Linked DNA regions of Nothobranchius furzeri. The protein of the gene in region 1 interacts with the protein of each later gene in a pairwise test. Links are inferred from orthologs where the notes say so. Each region holds a gene or a part of one and is shown in the gene's direction. Other genes may lie near its edges.

Evidence for each region.
Region 2: the proteins of lmo4b (region 1) and tfip11 interact in binary tests that used the Homo sapiens proteins (3 or more experiments, as listed by UniProt). The two-hybrid records come from large-scale screens. The link is inferred for Nothobranchius furzeri from reciprocal best matches to the Homo sapiens genes LMO4 and TFIP11.
Region 3: the proteins of lmo4b (region 1) and itsn1 interact in binary tests that used the Homo sapiens proteins (3 or more experiments, as listed by UniProt). The link is inferred for Nothobranchius furzeri from reciprocal best matches to the Homo sapiens genes LMO4 and ITSN1.
Region 4: the proteins of lmo4b (region 1) and nfyc interact in binary tests that used the Homo sapiens proteins (3 or more experiments, as listed by UniProt). The link is inferred for Nothobranchius furzeri from reciprocal best matches to the Homo sapiens genes LMO4 and NFYC.
Region 5: the proteins of lmo4b (region 1) and grhl2b interact in binary tests that used the Homo sapiens proteins (3 or more experiments, as listed by UniProt). The two-hybrid records come from large-scale screens. The link is inferred for Nothobranchius furzeri from reciprocal best matches to the Homo sapiens genes LMO4 and GRHL2.

The regions. Positions count from the first base shown.
Region 1 is NC_091756.1:59,560,010-59,564,293, reverse strand, and holds the start of lmo4b (LIM domain transcription factor LMO4b), read left to right. Parts: upstream 1-1,475; 5' UTR 1,476-1,704; intron 1,705-2,820; 5' UTR 2,821-2,825; coding exon 2,826-3,061; intron 3,062-4,284. UniProt on the Homo sapiens protein: Transcription cofactor. Plays a role in establishing motor neuron identity, in concert with MNX1, acting, at least in part, to disrupt LDB1-LHX3 complexes thereby negatively modulating interneuron genes in motor neurons.
Region 2 is NC_091757.1:45,000,280-45,004,520, reverse strand, and holds the start of tfip11 (tuftelin-interacting protein 11), read left to right. Parts: upstream 1-1,441; 5' UTR 1,442-1,551; exon of another isoform or gene 1,552-1,569; intron 1,570-1,989; 5' UTR 1,990-1,991; coding exon 1,992-2,197; intron 2,198-2,286; coding exon 2,287-2,452; intron 2,453-2,542; coding exon 2,543-2,699; intron 2,700-2,807; coding exon 2,808-2,935; intron 2,936-3,051; coding exon 3,052-3,213; intron 3,214-3,372; coding exon 3,373-3,564; intron 3,565-3,703; coding exon 3,704-3,883; intron 3,884-3,993; coding exon 3,994-4,128; intron 4,129-4,214; coding exon 4,215-4,241. Other genes in the region: srrd (SRR1-like protein), read right to left, coding at 235-333, 421-602, 669-709, 940-1,151. UniProt on the Homo sapiens protein: Involved in pre-mRNA splicing, specifically in spliceosome disassembly during late-stage splicing events. Intron turnover seems to proceed through reactions in two lariat-intron associated complexes termed Intron Large (IL) and Intron Small (IS).
Region 3 is NC_091752.1:40,936,357-40,939,872, reverse strand, and holds part of itsn1 (intersectin-1), read left to right. Parts: intron 1-1,384; coding exon 1,385-1,548; intron 1,549-1,694; coding exon 1,695-1,709; intron 1,710-3,414; coding exon 3,415-3,516. UniProt on the Homo sapiens protein: Adapter protein that provides a link between the endocytic membrane traffic and the actin assembly machinery. Acts as a guanine nucleotide exchange factor (GEF) for CDC42, and thereby stimulates actin nucleation mediated by WASL and the ARP2/3 complex.
Region 4 is NC_091759.1:20,572,170-20,576,205, reverse strand, and holds the start of nfyc (nuclear transcription factor Y subunit gamma), read left to right. Parts: upstream 1-1,230; 5' UTR 1,231-1,340; intron 1,341-1,483; exon of another isoform or gene 1,484-1,558; intron 1,559-4,036. Other genes in the region: uncharacterized protein si:ch211-13c6.2, read left to right, coding at 353-555. UniProt on the Homo sapiens protein: Component of the sequence-specific heterotrimeric transcription factor (NF-Y) which specifically recognizes a 5'-CCAAT-3' box motif found in the promoters of its target genes.
Region 5 is NC_091759.1:1,557,433-1,560,948, reverse strand, and holds part of grhl2b (grainyhead-like transcription factor 2b), read left to right. Parts: intron 1-1,336; coding exon 1,337-1,495; intron 1,496-1,733; coding exon 1,734-1,791; intron 1,792-2,772; coding exon 2,773-2,912; intron 2,913-2,993; coding exon 2,994-3,031; intron 3,032-3,153; coding exon 3,154-3,245; intron 3,246-3,516. UniProt on the Homo sapiens protein: Transcription factor playing an important role in primary neurulation and in epithelial development. Binds directly to the consensus DNA sequence 5'-AACCGGTT-3' acting as an activator and repressor on distinct target genes.

The DNA.
Region 1 (4,284 bases):
AAAAGAGGGCCAGATTCAAACATGTTCAGGAAACGCCAAGTGGAGGAGGTGGGTTTTTAGGCGACTCTTGAAGACTGGCAGAGATGGGGACAGCCTAACTGAGGGTGGCAACTGGTTCCATAGTGACGGTGCTAGGACTGAGAAAGCCCGGTCCCCGCGAGTACGACACCTAGAACGAGGGACAGCGAGCAGGCCTTGGTCAGAGGAGCGCAGAGCGCGTGATGGGGAATGTCTGTTCAGGAGCGTGGCCAGATAGGGGGGAGCACCACCCTGGAAGAAATTAAAAACAAAGACGAGGAGTCTGAAGTGTGAACGATAGCAAACCGGAAGCCAGTGCAGGGAGGCCAGAACCGGAATGATGTGGTCCCGTTTCCTGGTCCCAGTCAGGAACCTGGCTGCGCTGTTCTGCACAACCTGAAGGCGACACAGTGATGACTGACACAACCCTGCATAGAGAGAGCTGCAGTAATCATTGCCTCAAGAGTGCTGCAACCAGCCTGAAGGAGACGGGTTCAATCAGGGTCAGGTCAGTTAGCTCATCACCCCTTAATCTTTGAAAATATCATTTGAAAACTGGCGTTTACTGGGGTTATCTTTTATATGAAAAACATAAGCAACATTTTTCCACAGCACTGTATTATGCCAGAGAGGGCGAGATGAGCAAATATTGCAATAATTACAGCACTTCAGCCAAAAGAGACTCAGTAGGAGCTGAAACCAATGACCTTAACGTTGTAAAAGGAGCTGCTATTATCTTCAGTGACAGATGATGGCGCCACTACGCAGCTGTAGAGGTTGGAGTCACCCTCAACTAAGTAGTTATTGAATGCCAACTAATTAAACTCTGACGTGAGGTGAATGCAGCCTGCTGGATGTTGCCATGCAGCATGGAGCACGTTTGGAAACGATCGAACACCATGACGACTTGTGTATAACTTTGCATCTAGTCCATAGGTTACCTCAGCACTCGCGTTTCCCCATTTACCATTTAGGTTTACGTAAACTCATATTTATAATGCAGTTATTAAATACACCATCGCCTCTAATCCCAGAAACGTGGTTCTGGATATCTCGGATTTAAGTGTCAATGAGCTGCTTTTATCCCCGTTTTTCCTCTTGTCCCTCTCACCTCCGTTGTCTGCGTGTCCAAGTCTATCTCCCTTCCCTCCGATTGGCTGGAACTGTTATTCTCCCAAATTGACTGCATTCTGATTGGCTGCCAGGGCTCTGTCGTCACGCAGCAGGAGAGAGTTTTTACTGGAGGTTTCTTTCTGTCAGCGACACATGTAGAACCAGCTGCCAACGGGACGCGGACGCACGCAGAGATTCAGACCAGAGCAGAAAGAGACCTCTTCAGCCTCGACGTCTCCTGAACGCTTTATCTTTTTGTTTCAGCCAAAACACGCACGTGCTCTTCACGTCTTTGGGGGAACATTACGGCATGCGTGTCACCTCGCCATGAATCCCGTCGTCTTTAAAGTGGTGCCAGTAAAAGGGAAGCCTACCCGTGGAAATACTATCTGATAACTCCATTTGCTCGCCTCGCCGGGTCCTCGAGGTGCTCTCGCGCAGAGCTGGAGTCTGGAGCGCGCGCGCGCTGGTTGGTGCGTCCGCTTTGAAGCCGTTTTACTTTTCTGGCTCTGTTGAACCCTCCCTACCTGTTCATCGTCAAACTTCGGTGGCATCGTCGACCAGGGGAACGAGGTGAGTGTTTGTTGGCGTTACAGCCTAATTAAACAGGAAACTAATCGGTTTATGTTGCGTTCTTTCGCAGCGCGTGCGTTCACATCCAGTATTCACTTCATTAGCACATTTCCACGCATTTATCCCAAAAATAATAACGCCAAGAAAGTGTTTTCCCCTGCTTTCAGTGCACGAATGGGTGTTTTTCTTTTCTTTGCCCCGCTCACTCATCTCTCCCTCTTTCTCTCGCTGTCTCTCTCCCTTCTTTTTCCATGACTTGCCCAAATTGCCTGTTCGTGTAATTACTTGAGTTGGCCCATTTAGTTTAAAAGCCACCCCCCCTCTCATTCCTCCTCCCCCTCTCATCCTTCCCCAGCGAATAAAACAGAAACTCCCCCCCTCCTCACCCCTAGAGAAACTTGACGATAGCCCGCTCTGTTTATCCAGAGAGTCACTTTCACGTCGGCTTTTTTGATTCATCTCCTTTTAGATTTAATCAGCACTAAAGTACGCTGTGGTTTGTCCCTAAGAGCCATCGCTAATGGGCTTACTGAATGCCCCCCCCCCCCCCCCCATCCCTCTTCCCAACTCTAATTGGCCTACCTGGCTTTCAACAAAGATTTGGCTTCATCCCTGCAAGTCCGTCTGACCAAATTGGTGGGGATTACATCTGAATGACTTGAAATTAATTTAGTGGCTGAAACAGAATGCATAAGATTAGTAGATTGACGTCATTACAGGAGGTCTGTGGGCATCAGTTTGTAGTCTGACATGTTTTATGCCTTGGAAGTTGTCAAGTGTTGAGAACCAAACTGCAATTCCTATCTCACTACAGCCATTCATGCTGGGATTGAGACGATAAATATATGCTGAAGTCTTAATTATGGGTGTTATCAGTTGAACAGACACTGGGAAGCCCATTAATGCAACAGAACAGGACAGTAACGGACATCTAGACCAGTTTCACTCAATAATTAGTCACAAAACTAGGTATTAGTTGGTATAATTCAAAATCCGTAGCTGTGAATACATGTTGATAGTTTTTGTCTGAAATCAAAACAATCCTCCACTAGTAAATGCACGAGCACCGGCCATGTGGGTGAGTCAGGCTTGACCGTGTCTTTTCTGTGTTTTTAGAGACAATGGTGAATCCTGGAGGCAACAGCCAGCCACCAGCGGTGGGCACAGGCTCCCTGTCTTGGAAACGGTGTGCGGGTTGCGGGGGCAAAATTGCAGATCGCTTCCTCCTCTACACCATGGACAGCTACTGGCACAGCCGATGCCTCAAGTGTTCCTGCTGCCAGGCCCAGCTGGGCGACATTGGTACTTCGTGCTACACAAAAAGTGGCATGATCCTGTGCAGAAATGACTACATCAGGTGAGAGGATCGCTGAAAGCCATGTGTTTATGTAGAAGTAGCACGGGCGTAATGTTATGTTTTGATTCATTTTTCATTTAGTTATTATATTTTTATGTAACCAAAACATCCCGACTATTTTACAATATAAAAACAGCCCTGAAAGAAAAATATCTGAATGTAAAATTTATGTCAAAGAACATTCTGAACAGAATTTTGTGGGATTTTGCTGCGCCCTATCCACAGCATTACGATCTCTGAGTGTTCGTAAAGCATTAATATGATCAAATCCTTCATGATCTGGTGTCGTCCTATCAGCTGCTCCAACGCTAACGTGATTAGTGGCATTCTGCTTCAGATCTCTAGGTTAGATTTGGGCTAATTAATCAACACTCGTGTGCATAAGTAGCCTACTAACGAACAGGAAACCGTAGATGGTTTTGGAAGTCTCCCAAGTTCTCCTAGATGTTGTTGAATCAAAGTTTAAGCTACGCAGCTATGTTCTTTTTTGTCAGATGGTGAAAGAAGGATGAAAAAAAGTTATTTCTATTTAAAAAACAACTATTGTATTTCTGCATTGGCTGGAGGAAAACCATGCTGCTTGACCTTTACTCCAGGTGCCACAAAGCGTCATGCATGGTGAGATGTTGTCAAAGCAGAAAGTTTTTCAGCAGATTACCGATTACACAAGAATGAAAGACGAGGTTTAGAATTTGCTCAGCACTTTTAGCGATGACGTTTTGATCTTTCTTCACTTTAAAGAAGCTTGAAGAGGCAATCGGAGTCATAAAGTTTCGGAGTGTGCCGAACAACAAAACACTGTTTTAGAGAAGATGCTTCCGTTTACTGCATCGATTCTAGTTTTAAAGGCTGATGTTGAGTTTAGATACGTTTACAGCCGTTCTCAGATGACTACAGCAACAATATACCAGTAAAAATAATAATCTGATTAACGTGAGAAATCATGACTCTGAAAGTAAACGCTGCTCAGGGAAAATGTCGGATTTTTCTTGGCGGTGATGGAAACCATCTGTTTTTTTTGATTTTCAGATCTGTGAGTCGTACTGAATCATGGACGTAATTTTCACTTTAGAAGTGGGGGGGGGGGGGGGGGTATCTTTACAATATGTTCTAATGGGAAACCGGCTTCAACACAAACGGTTGCTTTCCGCTTGGTCCTAGAGCTCAACCAGTGTCAATTTAATATAGCGTAATATTGTTTTTGGATGGTAAAAAGTGCAGGG
Region 2 (4,241 bases), on another chromosome or scaffold:
GAAAAAAAGCAGATTTATTCTCTCTGCACTGATTTATCAACATCTAAGCTAGTGAATAACCAGTGAAATCAAACAGATAGCAAAATGAAATGGCTGGAGTTGTAACAGTTGTTTATTTGTAACAATGGTATTTATGGTAACATTATATCTGTATAATCTACTTCATAGTGTATACCTGAAAACAGTGTTTTACTGTTATTTATTTCAAAAATACTCAAGCTCTTGTCAACTGACCTCATTTTCTGTGAGTACAGTCAAACCCAGCTCTCTTAAGACATTCTTTTCAGCAAAGGAGAAGGCAGGATCATAAACATAGCAGTCCCGCAGTAAAATCTACATGGACAGGGGCAATAAAGCACATATTTTGCATCAGAGTTTCACAAGTATCATTTATAACACAGATGGAGTCGATCTTCTCACCTGTCTCGCATCCAGAAGAAGCAGCAACATGGCAAGTTGGTAGCGAGCGGCTACACATGAAGAAAAAGACCCAAGACCATAACAAACACACATCAGTGTTTCTTCTGGGGCTTTTTCCAGCTGATTTTCAGTGTCACTGTCCCCTGGAGGTTTTAGGGATGCTGCTGCTGCCTGGAAATTCTCTGAAGAGAAGATGATCCACTAAATAACTAAGCTTAACTCAACCTACATATCTACAACAAACTCACCATTCCAGTCTTTCCAAAAATCTTCGTACTTTAGTTCAAACCTAAGAAGGAAAGATATAAGCAAACCAATAACTTATGGGAAGATGTATGATTTCACCTATTATGCAAGATAAATATTGTTACTCATATATATATATATATATATATATATATATATATATATATATATATATATATGTATATATATATATATATATATATATATATATATATATATATATATATACATACATACATACATACATACATGTGTGTGTGCGTAACTTCTTACATGTTGTCTCTGATTCTTCTGATGAGTTTTCCAACATCCAGTTGCTCCTGATGGCATGATGGTGAGTTTAGAGGAACTTGATGAGATTTAAATTGCCTACATACACCTTTTCGACGCCGAGCTACCTGCCATTCATCGGATATGTACGACATTTGTGTGAATTGCCAGATGTAATTTACATAAGTACATACATTTCCAAACGTAAGTATCATAAAAACATGGAACTCAAAACCAAATTTAGCATTTTGAGAGCTGAAAGCTAAAAATGGAAACGCAGATGACCTATTCAAGTGCAACACATTGTTCTGTTTCCGGTGTGATTTCCGTCTAGTTAAAAGTCACGTAAATTCAACAGATTTGCTGTTGTTCGATTGTTTTTATTTTTAAAAAAAATATTGACCGCTTTATAAAAATGTATGTGTTGAATGGTTGGTTTTAATTAAGCTGCTTTTAAAATATTAATGAAATTATTTGTAGTGTACATTAATTGAAGTGACACGGCTAAACCGGAAGAACTTGCTTTTGACAAAAATATATCATTCGTCAACAGTTCGTGTCTCTGCAGTTCGTCTTATTACCACATAAGATATGTGTTTTTGATCTCAGACCAAGGTTGTAATTAATATTTTAGTAAGTTAACTTAAACGAAATCGTCGTTTTTTATCACTACTAACATGTTGTGTGTATTTACATTAATGCTACAGAACGTGCGTTATTGCTAGTAATTAGCCTTCGCTCCGTTTTCTTCTAAGCAGATTTGTATAGTTTTATAATCGATGTTTCACGTTTAGTCTTATTTGTGTATTCATCGTTATTGATTGTAAACCTTTTTGTCATTATTAATTTATCGTTAGTTAAACCACAAACGTTGACTTCATACCTGACTTAGTTATCGCATTTTATTTCCCTCTTCTTTGCCTTTAATAAACTAGATATGCATCTTTTTCCTGATTTTGAAGTCACAATGTTTCTTTCCTGGAAAATAAATGCACGTGTAATTTTAGGATTCGGTCACATTTCATTAAGATCTATATTGTTTATAACTTGCAGAGATGTCAATGTCCCACCTTTACGGGCGGAGGGAGGAGGAAGAGGAAGGTGTGGAGGTGGAGAGTTTTGAGATTACTGACTGGGATTTAGCCAATGAGTTCAACCCAGACCGTCGCAAATTCAGGCAGAGCAAGGAGCAGGCCACATATGGCATCTGGGCCGAGAAGGATTCTGATGAAGATGAAAGGCCCAGCTTTGGTGGCAAGAAGTATAAATGGCTTGCTTTTGACACAAATTCCAATTCTGAAACAATTTCTAACCAAATGTTCTAATAAAATATTTATGATTTCTTTTTAGATCCAAAGACTACACTGTACCTGTGAGCTTTGTGAGTGGTGGTTTGCGTAAGAGTGCTGCTGAAGAGAAAGAGCGGGAAAAAGAAGGCAGCTCTGACGACTCTGATGATGATACTTCTGCAAAACTCCCCCCTTCACGCGTGACTGCACCCAAAAAACTCCAGATGGTAATTTTTAAATGTGCGCACATTGTGATGTCCATTGTTTGTAGAAGAAAATAGTGAAAATAATGATGTTGGGAAAAAATGTTTTTCTAGGGTAATTTCTGTGGAAATCAGTCTAAGAGGTTTGCAGGTGGAATACAGTCTGGACAAGGAATTGGTAACTGGGAGAAACACACCAAAGGAATTGGACAGAAACTTCTGCAGAAGATGGGTTACCAGCCAGGGAAAGGCTTGGGGAAGAATGCTCAAGGTGTGTTTAGTTGACTTAGATTGTTCTTTTAAAAATGTTGTAAAATGTTTTGTTTTTTACATGGATGTGGTGGAATTGAAACACTTGTAATGTACTTTCTCTCTGTAGGTATCATAAACCCCATTGAGGCAAAGATCCGTAAGGGAAAAGGAGCGGTTGGTGCTTATGGCAATGAAAGAACCCAGCAGAGTCTTCAGGACTTTCCTGTAGTTGACTCAGAGGAAGAAGAGGAGAAGGTAAAGTACTGAGAAAAAAAATTGTCTTTACAATGTTGTTTTTATTTTTGTGTTTGATTTTATTGATCAAATGAGTCTATAGAGTCATTGTGGTAATTTTCTATATCTTTATATAGGAATTTCAGAAGGAACTTGGCCAGTGGCGTAAGGATCCAGCTGGGCCTGCAGGAAAAAAGAAGCCCAAGTACTCTTACAGAACAGCAGATGAGTTGAAGGCTAAAGGTAAAATAGTGAGTCGGAGCACATCTGCAACTGCAGGAGAGCTGGCACAGGTCAAGGTATGTTTATGTTTCACTTGTGTGCTGTTTGTTTTTTATGTTGGCATGGCTGCATAGGTGCAAAATTGAGGATTCAGTGTTTTATTAAGCATCAGTAATTTAAGTACATTTTGGCTACATTCATAGTACTTATTTATCCTGACATTTCCCTTGGTCTAGGTAATAGATATGACTGGAAGAGAGCAGAAGGTATACTACAGTTATAGTCAGATGTCTCACAAACACAGTGTTCCCGATGAAGCTCCACCAAGCTTGGCTTCACAGGATCAAAAGGTATCTGGCTTTGCTCTCCCCGAACTTGAGCATAATCTGCAGCTTCTGATAGACCTGACAGAACAAAACATATTACAGGTAAGAGGAAACCAAGAATTATTTACAACATATTTAGCTACAAGAATAGGATATTAATAAGTCAGCAACCTGAGAAAAATGTGAAGAACTTGTAATCTCTACTAAAGCGTTCTTTCTTTTTTTTGTGCATCTTTTGTAGTCTGCCAGACGTTTGCAGCATGAAAAAGACGTGGTTGTTTCTCTGAGCCATGAGTCAAAAGCTTTGCAGAGCAGACTGGAGTCAGAGCAAGAATCCATCCGAAGAATGGAAGCTGTCTTAGCATTAGTGGAGCGTTTTCCTTCTGAAGAGACGGCACCGGGAGAGGGCCCGACCCTACAGGTTTGTGTTACAAACACTGACTGGAGCCGGTCTGCAAGCTGTTCAAATTAAGGAGTTCCAGCTTTATATTTCATAATTGTGAAGCTGATTTGTAGTGCTTGTCTCTTCAGGAGTGTGCCCAGATCTTTGAGACATTACAAACCGATTATTATGAGGAATACAAGATGATGGGATTGGCAGATTTGGCTGTGGCTGTCATTCATCCATTGCTTAAAGAGAAACTCTCCTCCTGGGACCCTGTGAAGGTAGTCTTTTACAGTTAGAGGAAACCACATTTTTAGTAAATGATTAATATCCAAGCTAATTCTTGAACGCTTTCTGATCTTTTCAGGACAGTTCTTATTGTCTGGAGGATATC
Region 3 (3,516 bases), on another chromosome or scaffold:
TGAAAAACTATTTGTCCCCTTCCTGATTTCTTATTCTTTTGCATGTTTGTCACATAAAATGTGTCTGATCATCAAATACATTTAACCATTAGTCAAAGATAACACAAGTAAACACAAAATGCAGGTTTGAAATGATTTATGTTTTTTTTATTATTTAGGGAGAGAACAAAATTCAAACCTACTTTGCCCTGTGTGAAAAAGTAATTGCCCCCTGAACATAATAACTGGTTGGGCCTCCCTTAGCAGCAATAACTGCAATCAAGTGTTTGTGATAACTTGCTACGAGTCTTTTACAGCGCTCTGGAGGAATTTTGACCCACTCATCTTTGCAGAATTGTTGTAATTCAGCTTTATTTGAGGGTTTTCTAGCATGAACCGCCTTTTTAAGGTCATGCCATAGCATCTCAATAGGATTCAAGTCAAGACTTTGACTAGGCCACTCCAAAGTCTTCATTTTGTTGTTCTTCAGCCATTCAGAGGTGGATTTGCTGGTGTGTTTTGGGTCCTTGTCCTGCTGCAGCACCCAACATCGCTTCAGCTTTAGTTGACGAACAGATGGCCGGACATTCTCCTTCAGGATGTTTTGGTAGACAGTAGAATTCATGGTTCCATTTATCACAGCAAGCCTTCCAGTTCCTGAAGCAGCAAAACAACCCCAGACCATCACACTACCACCACCACATTTTACTGCTGGTATGATGCTCTTTGTCTGAAATGCTGTGTTACTTCTGTGCCAGATGTAACGGGACATTTGCCTTCCAAACAGTTCAACTTTTGTCTCATCAGTCCACAAGGTATTTTCCCAAAAGTCTTGGCAATCATTGAGATGTTTCTTAGCAAAATTGAGACGAGCCCTAATGTTCTTTTTGCTTAACAGAGTTGTTCTCATTTGTTCTTGAATTTCTTTGGATCTTGGCATGATGTCTAGCTTTTGAGGTGCTTTTGGTCTACTTCTCTGTGTCAGGCAGCTCATATTTAAGTGATTTCTTGATTGAAACAGGTGTGGCAGTAATCAGGCTTGGGGGTGGCTACAGAAATTGAACTCAGGTATGAAACACCACAGTTGGGTTATTTTTTAAAAAGGGGGGCAATTACTTTTTCACACAGGGCAATGTAGGTTTGGATTTTGTTCTCTCCCTAAATAATAAAAACCATCATTTCAAAACTGCATTTTGTGTTTACTTGTGTTATCTTTGACTAACGGTTAAATGTGTTTGATGATCACAAACATTTTTTGTGACAAACATGCAAAAGAATAAGAAAACAGGAAGGGGACAAATAGTTTTTCACACCACTGTAGATAGATAAGGAAACGAGATAAATAAATAATTCTCAGCCACAGAACTTAAGATAAATGCGTCTTTTTGTTTTTGTCTAATTGCAGCGGAGAAAGCTCCAGGCTCCAGTGTGTTTGAGCAGAAAGCATCGAGCAGCGGCTTCGACCAGCAGCAGCAGCAGCCAGTGAAGGTGGTCTACTACAGGGCTCTGTATCCATTTGATGCTCGCAGCCACGATGAGATCAGTATCCAGCCTGGAGATGTCATCATGGTGTGTAACCTGCACTCATGTCACACGTGTCCTGTTCATGTTGGATTTATCTCTGCATTTGTGTTAAAGCCTCCTGAAGTGTGTTTGTGTGTGAATGACCGTCTGCTTTAATGTTTTATTTCTCTCCTCCGCTCTGCAAACTGAAGGTGAAGGGGGAGTGGGTAAGTTCTTGCCCCCCGCCCAGTGCCGTTTTGTGTTTCCACCAATCACAAGCCAGTGCATTCATCTCATGCCCTGCTCATGTTCATCTGTCCTCTAGCGGATGAATGTCCCTTACTAAAGTGGGAATGCTGTCACGTGTTTATGTTGACCTAATCATTTTGTTTCAGCTATCTTTATGAATGAACCCCCCATCTTTACCATTAAAGCAACACCAAAGAGTTTAGCTGCTTTGCAGCTCTCACTCTTCCTGAAGCCGTGAATTGTGACACAAAACTAAAATATGGGGAAATAAAAGTTGTGTAGATTCTCAGCCTCCACACTGATGCTAAACACTGCTGACTGGATGTCAGTGTGTTGCTCCACTTATCCCATAACCCGCTACAGCAGGGGTGTTTTATTCTGGGCCTGGAGGACCGGTGTCCAGCACGTTTTAGCTTAAACCCTGCTTCAACACACCTGATTTCAATCAGTAGGTGATTAACAGGCTTCTGCAGAGCCGGATGAGCTGCTGCACAGGTGATTCAATCACTGAATCTAGTGTGTTAGAGCAGTGAAACCACTAAAACATGCTGGTTAGCGGCCCTCGAGGCCTGGAATTGAATCCCCCTGTGGTACATTTGAAATAAAAATCCTTCAGTTTGACCAGCACATATTTACCTACATATAATGAGTGTCTTTTATATTAAACACCTTCTTGGTAACAATGATTAAATTAATAAATTTAGTAGAATAAGTTATAATTAAACAGGAAAATAAATGTAAAGCTGGTATTGTTTGTTGTCTTCAATGGAAAAATTTAAGAATGACATCTTTTGTTGAGAAATGAAAAATCTCATGAGATTATTGCAAAACCAGATGACCCTTTGGATGTGAGGTGAAAGGCACTCATGTAGCAACAGACTAAATTTTAGCCCAGTGTCTTTAAAATGGATTCAGATGAAGGGTCTTGGCCATCTTGAATTGAGCTGACTCCAGAAGTGAGTCAGTTGTGGGCGCACGTCTGCTGATTTAATTTCTGACATTTTGAGAGAGATAAATAGATGTGAAGGACCTTTCTCTCCATGCTTGTGGATTTAGTGAACCTGCCTCCTGGAGTTAAACTCTGAAAGCTGTTTGTTTATTTCACAACTCATGTTTCTAATAGCATTGTGAGAAAATATCGGTACACTGAAATATACAATATTTCATGATAGATTTTTGAAAGGGTTGTATTGATTTTTCTTTTTGATTGAGAATTTATTTGCAAACATTTCCTTTATTTCTTTTGTGTAGTGCAATTCAGACTCTGACTGCTAGGTGGCAGCAGTTCACTGCCTTCATTCTGATGGAACAATGCGCTGTTGCTGGAACACTAGGTGTGGCGTGGACGTGTCTTGCTTGAGTTTTCCAATTAAATTCGGTCCTAAAATTACAATTATGTGGGTTTTAGTATCACAGTACATCATATCATCTCCACTATTGTGATGTATGTTGTTTCACCAGATTCTTGCAAATACACACCCCTAGTCTCTTGTGTTGAGCTCATTATTGGGATTGTCCAGATAACGTTCTAGTTTTAACTTGATCAGGATGAATGTTTACTGTGCTGCAGTAAAACTATCACCCACTGGCACTGGCTAGTTCAGCCCTGCTACCTGGCCTAAAGCTTGATGAAGCACATCTAGTGTTTCTGGCCTAATTAAATCACACCCTTTGCTCTGATAGGTGGATGAGTCACAAACGGGTGAGCCTGGGTGGCTCGGGGGTGAGCTCAGAGGCAGGACCGGTTGGTTTCCAGCTAATTATGCAGAGCGTATACCCGACAGC
Region 4 (4,036 bases), on another chromosome or scaffold:
TCAGCAGTTTCTGAAATACTCAGACCAGCCCGTCTGGCACCCACAACCATGACACGTTCAAAGTCAAATTAAATCGCCTTTCATCCCCATTCTGAAGCTCAGTTTGAACTGCAGCGGATCGTGTCAACATGCCGAAATGCATTGAGTTGCCACCATGTCATTGGCTGATTTAGTAATTTGCGTAATCGAGCACTTGGACAGGTGTATTCATTAAAGTGGCCCGTGAGCGCGTGTACATACCGGTCACATAAACATGGTGAGTTGGAGGACAGTCTGTAAAGCAAAAAAATCTGTATGAAAGTTTAATTATGAATTGTTTTTATTCTAAAGTCGTTGTCTTGTGTGTTTTTAGGTGGAACACCTTTTTATCCCGAAAGACTTCCAGAACTCATGAACTCACCCGACTACCGGAATCCTGATATGTTTTTTGACCCTCACCCCGCTGCGCCTCCCCCTCTTATGGAGCAACAGAGCAGGATGCAGAGGGACCCTCGCTACTCCAACAATCTGGACAAAATCACCTGCGCTCTCCTGGAGCTTGTGGCAAGAAAATAGTCACTCCCAAGATGGTTATAAAATAAAATTAGATTTTGTTTGTGTAAGTAGTTTCAGGTTGCATGTGAAGTTGAATGGTTTGGTTTATTTTAGGGAATTTGCCTTAGTAAAGTTCAGTTTTTGACCCGTCAAGATCTGTGATGTAATTGTCTTGTCTGTAGTAATCTGTTTATTTTAGTTTCTCATTTGTATCAGTGTAAGCATAACCATCAACATTTGTACACAGTTTCATTTTATGTGATATGAACGTGTTAATTTACAAAACTAAAATTCGTAATGTGAATGTGGCTCTTTTTATATACAGAACACACCAAGAACTAAAAGATGGAATTAGAATTTCAACACAACAAGAACACACCAAAGATGTTTAAAGAACACACCAAGGTTGACGTCTGTTTATGCACTTTTTAAATAGCACAAAAATTACCTTACGGTCAGAATCCAAGTTTGAATCCTCTGTTTTTTTCCAGGAATTTTCCAGACAAAATAGTATTTTATCAAGCCAACTTTTGCAAAACTTTATATTTTTTGTGAGGTAAAAATTATTTGCATGAGTGACAGGCTTAATATGTGTTTACATAAATACAATATATCCATTTGAATGTTATTTCGTAGGTTCAATATGTCTTATTTGTTCAGACGTAGGTTCTGTGAAAACGTAGCTCGCACTACGTCATCGCGTTAATCTTTCCGGTTCGAGTCAAGCAGCCATCTTGTTTCCCTAGCTTGTTAAACAAAATAAATAATACGCTGAGCCGGACTTCAGCTCGAACCCGAAAAAGAAAGTGAGTAAAAAACTTAAATTCTCTCATACCTATGTTCTTTACATAAAACAGGCCTGAGGGAGTGGCAGTCGGGGCAATTATTTGGCCTGTTTTCATTTGCTGTTCTTGACCAATAGACGATTGTTTTGGGAGATGAACATCGGCGCCATTTCCCTCCCCGCACTCAGGCGCTTATTGGTGGCCCGCCGAAGAGATCCCGGGCGGTTTGGAAACTGGAGGTCTGTGTCCGCCATTTTGGATCTCATTAAAACGGCTGTCAAACGCAGTGGCTATTTCCATTGGATCCCGAATGGCGTCGATTGCAGAACGAACTTAGCCTTAAAAACCTTGATTGGTGGAATCTAGTCCGAGGTTTGATTGGTCTGAAGGACAGATCCAAACGTTGTCTTTATTGGTTAGGGTGTTTCTTTCGAGCTTTGCAAACTTTACGATGGCAAGACTCGTCAGTGTGTGATTTAATTTCACTCCGCGGAATGTCAGCCGAGCAGTGCAACAGTCACCATTCTCCACCAAGCTAGCATAAAGTTCACTTTGTCACAGTCGGCACTCCCTATCCTAACGTTAAACTAGTAGTGGAAATCTTTTGTGTACGGCTGTTTTGTGTGTCTAAGCACGAAAATGTGTTCAATTAGTCTCTCCAACTCAAGAAAATACAAGCTAGTTGTGCCTGCTAGCCCAAGATTTAGCATCATTTTTTTCACTTTATCACGATGGCCGCTTTATTCAAATAAACCTCTGTAGAATTCCGTTTCGCAAACTGAGAATGGCCAGAAAATGCGTTATACCTGCTGCGATTTTTACCTAATATGTCTGTCGGCTGCGTTAAAAGCGCAGTGTGCCATTTAATCGTAAAAAGTGTAATTGGTTTAATGTCATGATCACAATTGGAAAACAAATAACCAGTTGAGCTGAGTTATGTAATCATCCTGCATGTACTGAACTGTTTTCTGAATATTTGTACGCTTACGAATCAACAAATACACAATATATAGACAATATCAATAACTAAACAACACCCAAAGCAGAAAGGACACAAACCGTTTTGTTTTTTGATTAATCTATTTAAAAAAATCCTATTTTAAGCTTTTACTTTTGTGCATTTTAGTTCCTAATTTGTTTTAATTTTGAATTATAGCTTAACTTTGTACATTTGAAATGAAGTTTGGTTGTTTAATAAAAGTCCATCTGTAATTCCTTATTCTTGGTGTATAAGTTTACTTCTAACTCAGGATTGCAGCTCTTCCCACCCCAGTCTATTATTTCTGTCTCTAAAACATTAATGTTTGTTTAATCCACTAATTGCTTATTTTTCTAATTGACAGAATGCTTAGATTTTGATCAAACATTAATGGAAGCACCTATTGTGCAAATCAGTGAGCTGGGGTTTGCAGGTGGTTATATGTTTACATGTTGAAGGCTTAGCTCGGCCACCCTGAGGGTGCTGTGTGTTTATGAAACCTAACGTCTGATTGGTGTGTGTTTATCTCCAAACAGCATCAGCGAGCACAAACATGGCCATGCTACGGGCGGTATAGGTCATGGGAAGGTTTCATTTGTATGCTGACCTTGCCAAGTGTCATTACTGAGGCTATTTGGGTAGCAAGCGTCCCCTTTAAGAGAAAAATAAATGTCCTGGCCAGTTAGCCGTGATGGAGAGATTAATCTTTGAGAAAACTATCCAATCATTAACCTGATGCTTGCAGCGCCTTTTCTTGTGCCGGTGCTCTGTGCTAAAATAGCAAAAGGAACATTTAGCTTTGTTTCTCTTGAGTTATCTATCTTGTTCCCTAACCCTCCCACCACTTGTTCTACCCCTCCCATCCCATAACAACTCTCCTCTCTGTCCTTCTCCATCCTTCCGGTCTCTCCCCCCCCCCCGGTATTTCATTGAAGGGGCAGGTTTCCTCTGTTTCCTCTTAAGCTTGTTCCATTCCACTCCACTGTAGAGTCACATTCATATGGAGCATTATCTTTAGACTATTATGTCACTTTTTAAACACGTTTCCTGCTTCATGTATGTGTCTCCTAATGAGTTCACATGTGAAACGGATCACAAACTGCTCAAGGTTGTGGTTTGTAAAACATCAGCTGGGCACATGAGCGGTGGCGGCTGGTCTTGGTGATCCGAAGTAAAGGTTTCTGCGATGAAAGGATGTGCCGTGAACAAAAAGGGCATCGAGTTTGTCATTGCTGGTGTGGTTTCCGTTGACGTTTTTATTGTGGAAGTTGCTGCTAGCTTCGTTTTGGGGTCAGGACACCAGCGTCTTTGTGTACAGATTTCCACCCATATCTCTTAAGTCTTGTTTAACCACAAATAGAACAAGAATCATATTCAGCCTTATCCCTCCCCCATCCCAACTAATGTTCCATCAGCTGATTTCTTCCGCAACTGATGGCCTGAAATGATCAGTTTTAGAGATTTATAAATATTTTTTGTTATGGTCCAAGTAAGCAACATAGTTTGCAGAAAATCATCTCCTGTGTCGTAAATTTGTTGAATGTCATTCTGCTATTTTACATCCTAAACAAATAAAAAAGTATTTTGTTTATGTGGACAAATTTTGTCTTTGCTGTATTATCAGTAATATGAATGTCATTACAACAAACGGGCTGCTCAGAGGCAACGTTGTCGCTCCACGCACCTGGAAACACCAGCAAGGATAAACGAGGAAGCAAGGACAAAATGTGCATTTGTG
Region 5 (3,516 bases), on another chromosome or scaffold:
AGAAAGAAAGGTTTAGAAGATGAGTAAATGAACAAAAAGCTCAGAGAGTGTCACATCTAAAGGGGTCCGGGTAGAAACAACAGCCCCGTTTTCTGTCTCTGCTTCGGCAGATCTTTACTTGTGTTATTGTTAAATTCTAAAAATCATCATTATTCACTCAAGGTAACAGAATTATGAGTACATTTTAATTTTCCTACAATAACGGAACAAAACTTGGGCAGAAACACAAGTTATCATTTATTTTATTTTTGTTGAGTTTTCAAAAACGGAATTAATAATCGCAAAGATATATATTATACGTCATTGAAACTTGAATCACAAACCCCTACTTACAACTAAAGTTACGCTGGTTTATAAACAACCGTAACAAAACAAGTTTCAGTTCTCCATTTCAAGCACCAGTTTGGATTTCCTGGTTGGGACCTCTTTGTTTTAAAAGCCAGAGCACACTTGTTTGTTCTGTTTTTCCCGTTAAATTAACTATTTTCTGTATTTAAGGGATTTACAGTTTTTGCTCGTCTGAGAGGAGAAATAATCAGAGTTGCTGCTCGAGGCTGACACCTAGTGGTTCTTACACGTCATCAATTTTTATTTCAGCTTTGTTTAACCCTTTGATGCATGAATTTGAAATATTCAACCATGATTTTTTTTACCATTTTTTTCATTCATCTTTAGGTGTGAATGAAAAAAATTTCATATTTACATATTTTTTGTAACATTTAATTTACAAATAATTTTTTACATGTCGACCTCAGTGGACAGCGTGCATTCTGAACATGAAATATGTTGGCTTGACTTACTGACGTCCAAATGGAGGGGCTCAAATGCAATTAAGTCTTCAACAGCTGTGCTTAATAGCAAAAAAAAAGTACCAATTTTGAGTACCTGTCCACTGTAGTGACCATTATGCATCAAAGGGTTAATTATCCTTTTATCTTGTTCACAATTTAAAATTGTTTAGAATGATTAGAAGAATTTCAGATTTTTAATGATAAATTTTACGTTTAAATTACAATATCCAGCTATTACTTCAGGAAATTAAACAGAGAAGAAAATCTTAATAAAAATAATTGAGTCTGATAGAATTGAAAGGACCTATTGAAGGTTCGGAGATGCTGAAGCTTTCCTTTAATCTTTCTGCTTTAGATTAATATCTGTAGGTATTTTTAGGAAGCAAAAGAAGCAGCAGAGTTGAAAGGAATTGTGTTTGCATTGCTTGAAATCATGAAAAAGTCAACTTTTCTTTCCAGCTTTGCAAACATGTGAGCAGACTTTAATCAGAAATGGAACGAAGAAGCTTTGTGTCAACAGTTTCTGCCTCTCTTTTCTCTGGCAGATCTTCATTACGGTCAACTGTCTGAGCACAGACTTCTCCTCCCAGAAGGGCGTGAAGGGTCTTCCTCTGATGATCCAGATCGACACATACAGCTACAACAACCGCAGCAACAAGCCGCTCCACAGGGCATACTCACAGATCAAGGTCTTCTGTGACAAGGTGGCACGTCGCTTCTGCGAGGAAAAATTCCTTTTTTTTTTATACTGTTTTTATTAAAAAAAAAGAAAGAGCTTCTGAAAGTAGGGCTCCCTCTAGTGGCCTGAGGACGGTTCTCCTCTCAGCACACCTGTTTTATTCCTAGTCTTATATCTCATAGCATGCTCCAGGTCTGGATACATTTGAAAATTAATGATTCTATTATTTAAAAAATAAATGTTTTTCTTCTTTTTTCCCCCAGGGAGCAGAGAGGAAAATAAGAGACGAGGAGAGAAAACTATTGAGAAAGAAGTCAAAAGGTTTGAGTCCTGCTTACAAACAGAAGATAATAATAATAATAATAATAATAATAATAATAATAATAATAATAATAATAATAATAGGATTTCCATTTCCACTATCGGAACTTCCGGGTAATTTTACCGAAAATTCATGCTATACTCTAATTCATGGAGCCAGCCTGAGAGGACCAAAACAAGCCTGGGTCATGTCTTAGGGTGGGACTTGTGGTTAACTCATGGTGTCTCAGAGGGAAATTAAATTGGCCGGCGACGCCAAACAGCCGGCATTTGTAAAATTGGAAGAGTTGCTGTTGATGCTGAATCAAATGAAGATAAAAAAAGTCAGCGTTTCTGTAAAATCGCTGTTACTAAACTCCTAACACATAAAAATGTGGCGGAAATCCCTCCGCAACGCTATAACGTAAGCTGCTTCGTGGTGTCCTACAGAACACCGTAAAATAACGGATTTTCTTGTGGTATACAATACCGTTTCTTACGTCACACGGCCACTCTCTTAATGCGTTCTGTGAACGGCGTAAAATACAGCGTGCTTTCACACATTTGTTTGTTATTAATCAGCTATCAGTAAAGTCACTCTGCCAGAACGCTCGCCATATGTTAACGGCTTAAGGCTAGTTTATACTTCTCATCCACTTTGGTGCGGAGACACGCAACGCCATCATCCGTTGTCGTAAGGTCTCGCCAACAGGCATGGAAGGACAAACGGAGTAAAGCCCATTTTTCTAAATATCCATAAAACACGACGGAGACCCCAATCCTGTGATTGGTCAGGACACTGCTTACCATCTCCCCTACTGGAAATGTCCTGGAACTTTCTTGTGGAGATGCAGCTAATGGCACAACAAACAGTTTTACAGTGTTTTAGTCAATATTTTACACACTTCGATGTGGAGGTCCAAGATTGCCTCCTTAGCCCCCCCCAAGTCAAATTTTCTGGACCCGCCCCTGTAGCCTATATATCGTGGTTTTTGTGTCCAGGGAAAGACGGAGGTGTCGGGGTGATAACTGTCCCCAAGAAGTCAGACATCACTTATTTCAAGAACATGTCGGACTTGGAGGCCCAGCCGGTTCTTTTCATCCCGGACGTTCACTTCGGCAACCTGCAGAGGGCCGGACAGGTGGGGCCCGGCTGAATTTCCACCTTTAACATGCTGTTCCGTGTCTTACTTACAATGACAGTATTTATTATTTGCATTCAGGTGTTTACCTTCAACACAGAGGAGATGGAGAGAGAAGGGTGAGCATCAGCCCCCCCCCCCCCCCCCCCCACACACACACACACAGACATTTACCTCATCCAAGCAGAAGCACAACACCACGGACAAACTGGCTAACTGCCACATGCTTGTGTGTTGTCAGGAGCGTTTTGGTGAAGAGGATGTTCAGGTCGTCTGATGAAGATCTGTGTCAGTCGCCTCACAAGCAGATCAAAGAGGAAACACACAAAAGAGGTAAAAGCTTCACTTTCCATCACCTTTTTCCGTTCGTGCATGGATGGTCAGGTAAATACTTCAGGTCTTTCCTGTTTTATTTCAATTGAGAAGCACAAACTCAAGAAGTTGCTGCTTCTGAGCACAGATCATGCCATATTTTTTATTTCTGGCCCAAATAAGTCTTTTAATTTTTGAAAAAATGGAGAGCTATTTTTTTTACATTAAAAAGTCAATAGAAACTTTTTCAGCTACTGAAAAATGATCAAAGCTACAAACGGATTGAATTCGC